2 linked regions of the Sus scrofa genome follow. The main gene of each other region encodes a partner of the protein of the gene in region 2 in a complex. Links are inferred from orthologs where the notes say so. Each region holds a gene or a part of one and is shown on either strand. Other genes may lie near its edges.

Region 1 (4,744 bases), on a different chromosome or scaffold from region 2:
TCCACTCTTGCCCCATCCCCCAAGCTGATTTCCACACAGCAGCCGGAATGATGCCCATAAACGTTAAGTCAGAACAGGTCTCTCTTCTAGTGGTTTCCCATCTCATTCAAAGTAAAATCCAAAGTTCTGACCACGGCCTACAAAGCTGTACAGTGGCCTCGGCAACTTCTCCAAACCTCAAGCTCTCTCACTTTCCCTCTTGCTGACTGGCGGCCCAGGTGTTCTCCAAAACGCCAAGTACACTGAGTGGTCTTTGCACTTACAGCCCTCTGCCTGTAACCTTCTGCCCCAAGACAGCAAACATCTCTCACTTCCTTCAGGTCTGTGCTCCAGCCTCATGTCTTCCCTGACTGCCTTCTTTGCCACTGTTCCCCTCCATCCCCTCAACCTACTTTACTCTTCGGCACACCTCTTATCACCTGACTTATTCTACATTTATTTGGTTGTGGCCCATCTCTCCTAATTAGAATAAAGCTCTGTGACAGCATGGACTTTGTTTTATTCACATAATAGGCATTCAAAAAAGCACGTGTTAAATTAATATTGAATGTTGTTAACTACATGAAAAAACATGCACATAAACAAGCTTGGAAGAGAAGAGAAAAATCATCTGTCAACATTTTCAAGTGTGGATCATGTTGCTAAAAAGGAGTTTGTACAATAAAAATCATAAGTCGGTCATGATCATGATTTTAAGCTGCCAAAAGTGACTATAATAATTTCCTTCAAAGCCATTTGTTTAAAATTATTAGTAGTTCAAAAACTACTGGTAATAGTTATATTAATGAGAACTTTTCCCCATAAGATTGCAATACAAAATCACTCTTAAATCTTGTTCCCAAAGACCCAAATTTAGTCTATAAGGGTAGGTTTGTCATTCCTGAACTCAAACAGAAGATGAACAAAGGCTTTTGAACAGTTTTAATACGGAACTGAATACTCAGGGATTCCAGTTTACTTTTAAGACAACTACCCATGGTTGGCTTCAGAGGGTCCCTGAAACTGAATGCAAAATTTTGTGCAAAAATGCCTATTACCTCCTTCCTGAGGAGAGCATCTACACATTTCATTATATTCTCAAAGGTGTCAGTAGCCCAGAAAAGGTTAATAATTACTATTTTATATACTGGGAGCTAAAGGCCATATTCTAATTTGAGCTGCCTCTCAAAAGGATAGAAGATATGGAAATACCTAGACATATCTTTGTAATCATTCAATTCATTCAAGAAATATCAAGTGCCACAAAAACAAACAAACAAGAAAGACCAAGTGCCTAGCATGTGCCAGGCACTGTATGAACCTCAGTACCTTACACCTAATCACATTTTGTGGCACATAATTCAAAATACCGAGGAAACAAGATTTACTGAAACACCAGACTAAAAGAATTTCAATTAACGCAAATACAATTTCAAAACAGAAAGTAAGTGTTCAAGAAATCAAAATAAAGAAGCTCGAAACCTGATTTAGTGTCAATTATGTCAAAATAGTGCAGATTATCAATTACATCACAAGAGAAGAAAAACTACACACATGCATGCCCACCCCCACACTCTGACAGGAAACCAAAATAAAGTTTCCAAATCCTGTTTCCAGCAGCATCCCTTTAGAGACTGCCCTTCAGCATGCTTTTGAAGGTAGGAGCCCCACGTTAAAACTAAGAGCGGATACTTCACTCTTAACTGTGCTAAAAACAGAAAGAATTATCATCTCACACCCAGGAAGCAGAAAACTGTGGCCACCTGTACAGCTGTGACCCATTAACCTCCTGCCCTGTTATTCTCTTTCATTTCTTCTACCTTCCTCCCTTCGAAGCAGTGACAAAACCATTTTCCCTCCCCAAAAGGAATACATAACTCCTCGACGCTAGTTCTTTTTCCAAGAGGTCAAAAGGTCCCCTAAACTCTGGTTCTTAGCACCGTGAGCTGATTCCACTTTTCAGGCACAAGTGTCTTCCCCTCAAGTTCTCCCCACAGCAGTAAGTTACACAATTCAGCCGAAAACGCTGTCCTTAACTTCCTGAACCAGGGGGCAAAAGACACTCCTACCAGTCCCAGTTTGAAGGAAGACAAGAATCACACGGTGACCTCTGCACTAATAAAATTCAGGAAAGAAGCAGAGACCCAAGAAAAGCAACGCCCGAAAAGGCGAACACATGGCATGCCACGGAAGACGTTGGGCAAAGAGGGCGGGAAAGGGGCTGGGAAATGGAGTGGGGCGTAGAGATGTCAGCCCTGCGCACTGGGGGAATAAAGGAACGGGGGACCCCGAACCCTGACAAGTGAACACAGAGAGGACACTGCTCCGGTCTACCCTCACCTCTCCAGCAGACGAGGGAGGAACAGAAAATTCACCCAACCCTCCAACCCCCTCTGTGCTTGCCCCCCAAAGGGTGAGCTGGGTTTGAAGGAAGATCTGACCCTAGTCTGGGGACACGCAAGAAGAAAAAGGCAGCGATGTCCAATCTTCTACCTCCCTCGGGCAGTGAGGGGCGAGGGCACTGTGTCCGGGGAGATGGCGAGGGAAATAGGCTTGTGCCATGACACCTCGGGGAGTTGGAGGGTGGGGGACACAATGTCCTCTTTCTCTCCCACACCCGGCCCGGGCCCCTCCCGTCCCTCTCCCGCAGGCCCAGCCACAGTCCACCGGCTCGGTCCGCGGGCGTGGTTGGCTCTGGCCCCGGCGGCGGCGGCCGGGCCTCCCCAAGTCCTGGCCCCTCCCGCCGGCCAGGCCCCGGGCCGCCGCCCCGGACACCGAGGGAACGCAGAGGAGGAAGGGGGAGCCAGGGGACTGACCGGCAACAGGAGCCGCCTCAGCCCCGGCTCGGCCGACCCGCGCCCCCCGCTCCTTCTGAGGCCGGCTCCGGCTCCCCGCCCCTCACTCACCCCCCCGGTCCGGCGCCTCCTCCACCTCCTCCTCCTCCTCCTCCCTCCACTCGGCCGTGGCTCCTGCTCCGGCTCTGCGCGGCGACGGCGGCGGCAGCGGCCTCGAGAGCGGCGGCGGCGCCTCCAGAACGCGCACGCACGCAGCACGCAGGCCACGCCCCCAAGTCCCGCCCCGCCCCTCCGAGTCGGCGTCGGCAAGGTTTCGGCCCCGCCTTCCTTTTGGCGTTCCGGAGTCCGCTTAAAGGGGCCGCGCAGGAAGGGATGCGAGAGTTACGAACCGGGAGAGTTATGACCTGAGGAGAGGAGCGGGAGTTACGGTTTTGCCTTGGGCGGTTGGGTGCGGAAAGGAAATGAGGAATAGTCCGAAGATTCTGGAGTAATAGAATTTTGGACGGAATACAACCTTTTGATAAGTACTAATTGAACATCTCATATGTGACAGGCACAGGGAATAATGCCATTGGCAAGTAAAGGCCCTCGTAGAGCTTGCATTCTAGTGGGAGAGAGGAGACTGAAACAAACAAGTAGAACAAAAATTTCAGAAAGTGGAGTCCCCATCTTGGTTCAGGGAAACAAATCTGATTAGTAACGGTGAGGACGCAGGTTCGATCCCTGGCCTCGCTCAGTGGGTTAAGGATGCGGCATTGCCATGAGCTGAGCGGTAGGTCACAGACAAGGCTGGGATCTGGCATTGCTGTGGCTGTGGCATAGGCCAGCAGCTACAGCTCCAATTAGACCCCCAGCCTGGGAACTTCCATACGATGTATCTGCGGCTCTATAAAATCCAAAAACTAAAAAAAAAAAAAAAAAAAATCTCTTTTGGAGTTCCCGTCGTGGCGCAGTGGTTAACGAATCCGACTAGGAACCATGAGGTTGCGGGTTCGGTCCCTGGCCTTGCTAAGTGGGTTAAGGATCCGGTGTTGCCGTGACCTGTGGTGTAGGTTGCAGACACGGCTCGGATCCCACGTTGCGTGGCTCTGGCGTAGGCTGGTGGCTACAGCTCCGATTAGACCCCTAGCCTGGGAACCGCCATATGCCGCAGGAGCAGCCCAAGAAATGGCAAAAAAAAACCAAAAAAAAAAAAAAAAGTTCAGGAAGTGATAAGTGGTGTGAAGAAAAATAAAGCCAGGAATGGAGTGACTTTATAGATGGCCAGATATTGCCCCTCAGAGGAGACCTTTGAGCCCATAGTGTATGATATGAAGGAGTGGGCTTAGAAAATATGTGGGAGGGGAGAAGGCATAGGGGAGACCTTATAAGCTGAAAGAAAATCTCTGGCCTTAAGCTCAGAGTTGGGAACAGCCGAGCATGTAGCAAGAACAACAAATGGCCAGAATGGCTTGGGGTGATCAGCTAGCCAGAGAGTAGTAGTAGTTGGGCTGAGAGAGGTGCGGAAGAAGAGGTCAGGTCCAGTGGAGCCTCATGGGCTGTCACAAGAGCAGCAGAGAGCCATGGGAGGGTGAGCAGAGGAATGACCACATCTGATTCACAATTTTCAAAGTTACCATGGCTCATGTGTGTAAAATACACAACAGGGAAGCACAGATGTCAGCAGAGAGGCTGTTCATGGGAGCTTGGACGAGGTGTGTCTGAATGTATTCAGGTGCATTTTTGAATTGGAATCAATTTGGCAGAGAACGTGTCAAGGAACGAAAAGATCATGTTTGCTTCTTAGGTTCAGGCCTAAAGGATGCAGTAAAGGTGGTACTATTTAATGGGATGGGGAAGACTTAAAGAGGAGAAAATTTGGGGTGGGGAAAAATCAGGAATTCTGTTTTGTGTATGTTACATAAGGTGCATGTTCTACATCCAAGTGAAGATGTTGAGTAAACAATTGAATATGTAAGCCTGAGTATATG
Region 2 (4,202 bases):
TGTGGCCATGGCCCTAAAAAAGCAATACATACATACATACATACATACATACATACATACATACCCTTGGCCTCAAAATCTCAGAGAAAACTGACTTCACCTATCAGCAATATCACATACAATATTTGTTTACTCCTAAATTATGCTATTGCCAAGAAAGAAAACATGAAAACAAGTCTGACAAGAAACAGTAAGTTTAGTAATTGTTTCATTTTTGATAGTCTACTGTCTGACAGTCTTAGCAATCCTGTTAATTTAAAAGAAAGCAAAGGCATGAAGAAAAATACCTACTCTTCCCCTCAAACAAAATCGTCTGGACCACGCCCTGGGAGAAGCATTCAGGCTGTTATTCTAGTCCAAAGCAATGAGAAATAAAGAAGAATAAAGAACAAAGGAAGTATTTTATGTATTCAGTTGTTATTAAAGATGAACTAGAAAGCAAACCAAACAAATAGAACATACAAAAAAAGCCAAGAAAAGAAAAAGCAGTTTGAAAACACCAGGCTTTAGGCACCTTTATATTTCCCTAAATACCTAAAATCCTATAACTCTACCCTTTCATTTCTAAATAAAATCACTTAAAAGTCTTTCAGAGAGTTTGTACCTCTCTACCACTATTATTTTCTTTTCCAAACCAGAAAGAAACTACTCCTTATAGACCTTATTCACTAGTTCACTGAAATCCTACTCTAATCTGATATGGAAAGAATGAATTCAATTTGAAATTTTAGTTCTCCCCTCGACTGATACACTAACCAGATTATTAAACCAATTTCAAGATGTAATGAATAAGAAAAGAAATTTTAAAAGTCCAGGAATTTGAGAAAGTGCTACAACATTCCTTATCAGGTTTAAAACCCAGAACTCTCTGACACAACAGTAAACCCCAATCAAATAGCTGACTGATAATCTTTACCACCCGCAAGGGGCCCCATTACCTCAATCATCCTGCTGTCCACAGGCAGGGTGGTGCTGACCATGTGGACATTGGGTGTGGACGTCGACCTCTGCCGCTGGGAGAGGGAACCTTCAGAGGAAGGGCTGGAGGTGTTGAATGTGAAAGCATGGGGTGTGGAGTATCTGTGCTGGGAACTAGTAGAGAGAAGGAGAAAGAAAATTCCGTGACTGATACTGAGCTTTCTGTACAGGCAGTCTTTCGAGTATCTACTTCATTAAGATACTTGGGACAAACCCTACTTGAACTACAACCTTTGACAAAAAAATGTTCCTTTTTTTCAATATGCACCATTTATTTTAGAAAAGGAAATATACATGCTTGGAATTCATGTGAAAAGAAATGATACATTATTAGTTTTCTTCTATTTAATAAACCACCTCTACAGAATACTCTAAATTTTAGACAACCTCTGAGAGAGATTAACAGTTACCAACCATACTACCCTCTACTAAGCTAGCTGGGACTTATTCAGGTTAATTATGAGACCAAATTAGAAAACTTTAAAGAAGTTTTTTTTAAACAGATGGTCAGACCTACTAAGCATGTCTACAAACAGGCCAGAATTTTATCCACTGTGAATCCTCTCCCCCATAAACAGCTCACAAAGTCAATTAACGTGAGCTGAGTTTTTAGGTTTCAATACCTAACTGTGAAATGTATCACTGGCCTCTTTTACCCAAAACCACTCTCCCACCAACCAAACTGGGAACATGCATTAGGTATAAGATTTTCATTATTTGCTCAAAAGATTACTCTGAGTTCTATTCAGATTCAAGCAGCACCATGCATGAATTCAAGGGACAAAAAGATGGTTTTTCTAAAAGAAACTGCTTTACTTCCTTGAAAGACTGCCTTTCCAGGCAATTCAACACTAATGCTCTCAGAACCCCAGTTTCTTCCATCTAAATGTATCTAAATCTTCAAAAGCAAGCAGTTCCTTTCTTTTTTGGCCACACTATGCAGCGGCATGATAAGGAATCTCAGTTCCCAGACCAGGCAGCGAACCTGGGCCACAGTGGTGAAACCACCAGGTCCTGACCACTAACAAGACCACCAGGGAACTGACAATTACAGTTTTTCAGTCAGACTTGCTTTTCAAATTATCAAGAAAAATAGAAGTCATATACAAACACATCTAGATTATCAATTCAGATTCTTTGTTCTAAAATATGCTACCTTTAACAAATTTCATGATAGGTTTACAAAGGCCATTAAATGTTTTATGAATATGGAGTTCCTGTCATGGCTCAGCAGTTAGTTAACATGACTAGCATCCATGAGGATGTGGGTTCGAACCCTTGCCTCGCTCAGTGGGTTAAGGATCTGGTGTTGCCATAAGCTGTGGTATAGGTCTCAGACTCAGCTCAGATCCCATGTTGCTGTGGCGTAGGCTGGTGGCTTCAGCTCCAATTCAACCCCTAGCCTGGGAACTTCCATATGCCACGGGTGCAGCCCTAAAAAGACCCCCCCCCAAAAAAAAATTATGAATATATATAAAGTCAGATACTTTGAATAAAGACGTAGATTTGTTTTTGGTTCCAAATTCATGTGTAACACTGAGACATGTTAACTCAAAGCTTAAAACAGCTTTTAGGAGTTCCCTTTGTGGCTCAGTGGTTAATGAACCCAACTGGGATCCATGAGCATGAGGGTTTGATCCCTGGCCTCAATCAGTGAGTTAAGGATCTGGCATTGCCATGAGTTATGGTGTAGGTTGAAGGCGCGGCTTGGATATGGTGTTGCTGTGGCTGTGGTGTAGGCCAGTGGCTGCAGCTCCCATTGGACTCCTAACCTGGGAACCGCCATATGCCGCAGGTTAGCCCTAAAAAGACACATAAATAAATAAAAATAAAATAGATATTATACTAACATCTAATTAGATGCTTTTAAAGAGAGCAGTTTATTAGGTACCATGGTTTTAGCAATGTAAGCCTACAATAAGTAATTCAAAGTTGAGAGTTTTACTTTTATTGAATCACTATTTACTGTTTTGGGACCCTTTCCCTGAGGCTCACTGCACATGCATAATGAGGAAGGCAAAAATCTCAAGTTCTTTAAAACGTAATGAGAACAAAGGGACATGCTAGGATAACAGAATAAACTATAGTCACAGTCACTTTCCAGAATTCAAGAACTACAGGACCACAAAGAACTACGTTTTGCTCTAACACCAACACTGGGGTCCACAGAAGCAGCAAAGGGTTTACACAGGGCGGAAGGAACGCAAGGAAACTCCTGTCTTTTGCATCCATGCTTTCAATCCCACCCACACCAATAAAACCTTCCAAAAGAAAAGCAGTAGATAAAAAATACCTAACAGGCATCCGGGAAACAGATTCTCGCATCCGACGCATTGTCAAAGAAGGCAGTGCTGGGACCCCACTATCACCAACAGTGGAATTTGGGAACAATCTAAATGAAATCAGAGAAAGACTGGTTTATAGACTTGTGGTAATAATTTTACAGTCAGCCTGCCTGGCCTTGCAAACTCATAACTACTCAGGCCGAACTATTCCTAGTCACATTTTCTTGGACCATTTGGGCTACCAGAGTAAAGGGACTACCAAACCAAGTGACTGAGTATGAATGACTACGGAATGTGAAAAATCCTGACTTGCCAGTGAACACAGAGTCTCTAATGTGCATTTCTAGGAAATGCTGCTTCAATGTCCAGCTGTATCAAAATAATTTTTTCAAAAGCTATACACAGTAGGGCACTTTATAACTAACCTAAATCATGCAGAGCTTTTCTGGAAACATTATGTCTTGATCAAAAGACTGAGGGAGTTCCCGTTGTGGCACAGCAGAAACGAATCAACTAGTATCCATGGGGATGTGGGTTTGAATCCTGGCCTCGCTCAGTAGGTCAGGAATCTTGTGTTGCCATGAGCTGTGGTTGTAGGTCAGACGCGGCTCGGATCCTGCGTTGCTGTGGCTGTGACTTAGGCCAGCAGCTGAAGCTCCAACTGGACCCCTAGCCTGGGAACTTCCATATGCAGTGGGTGCAGCCCTAAAAAAGCAAAAAAAAAAAAAAAAAAAAAAGACAAATATGAATAATAAATCATCTTTATCACCAACAGTCATAAATAAGGAAAGAGATATTAATACTAATCAGGACATCCTCCCTTCATGAGATAAGCACTTAATGCCCAGCAAGTTCACATTACCTCACTTAATCCTCATAAAAACTTTGCAATGATAGTAACATTCCCTTTTTTCAGATGAGTGAACTGAGGCTCAGAGG

The links. Proteins that work in one complex are often made in the same cells at the same time.
Region 1: the proteins of RAF1 (region 2) and RAP1A are in contact, whole or in part, in a crystal structure (PDB 3KUC), measured with the Homo sapiens proteins. The link is inferred for Sus scrofa from reciprocal best matches to the Homo sapiens genes RAF1 and RAP1A. Residues at the interface, in NP_001341619.1 of Homo sapiens: Thr57, Arg59, Asn64, Lys65, Gln66, Arg67, Thr68, Val69, Val70, Lys84, Lys87, Val88, Arg89, Gly90; in NP_001010935.1 of Homo sapiens: Val21, Gln25, Ile27, Val29, Asp33, Pro34, Ile36, Glu37, Asp38, Ser39, Tyr40, Arg41.

What each region holds. Positions count from the first base shown.
Region 1 is NC_010446.5:108,747,948-108,752,691, forward strand, and holds the start of RAP1A (ras-related protein Rap-1A), read right to left. Parts: upstream 3,006-4,744; 5' UTR 2,886-3,005; intron 2,815-2,885; exon of another isoform or gene 2,796-2,814; intron 2,092-2,795; exon of another isoform or gene 2,049-2,091; intron 1-2,048. UniProt on the Homo sapiens protein: Counteracts the mitogenic function of Ras, at least partly because it can interact with Ras GAPs and RAF in a competitive manner. Together with ITGB1BP1, regulates KRIT1 localization to microtubules and membranes.
Region 2 is NC_010455.5:68,598,689-68,602,890, forward strand, and holds part of RAF1 (RAF proto-oncogene serine/threonine-protein kinase), read right to left. Parts: intron 3,371-4,202; coding exon 3,272-3,370; intron 1,093-3,271; coding exon 939-1,092; intron 352-938; coding exon 292-351; intron 1-291. UniProt on the Homo sapiens protein: Serine/threonine-protein kinase that acts as a regulatory link between the membrane-associated Ras GTPases and the MAPK/ERK cascade, and this critical regulatory link functions as a switch determining cell fate decisions including proliferation, differentiation, apoptosis, survival and oncogenic transformation.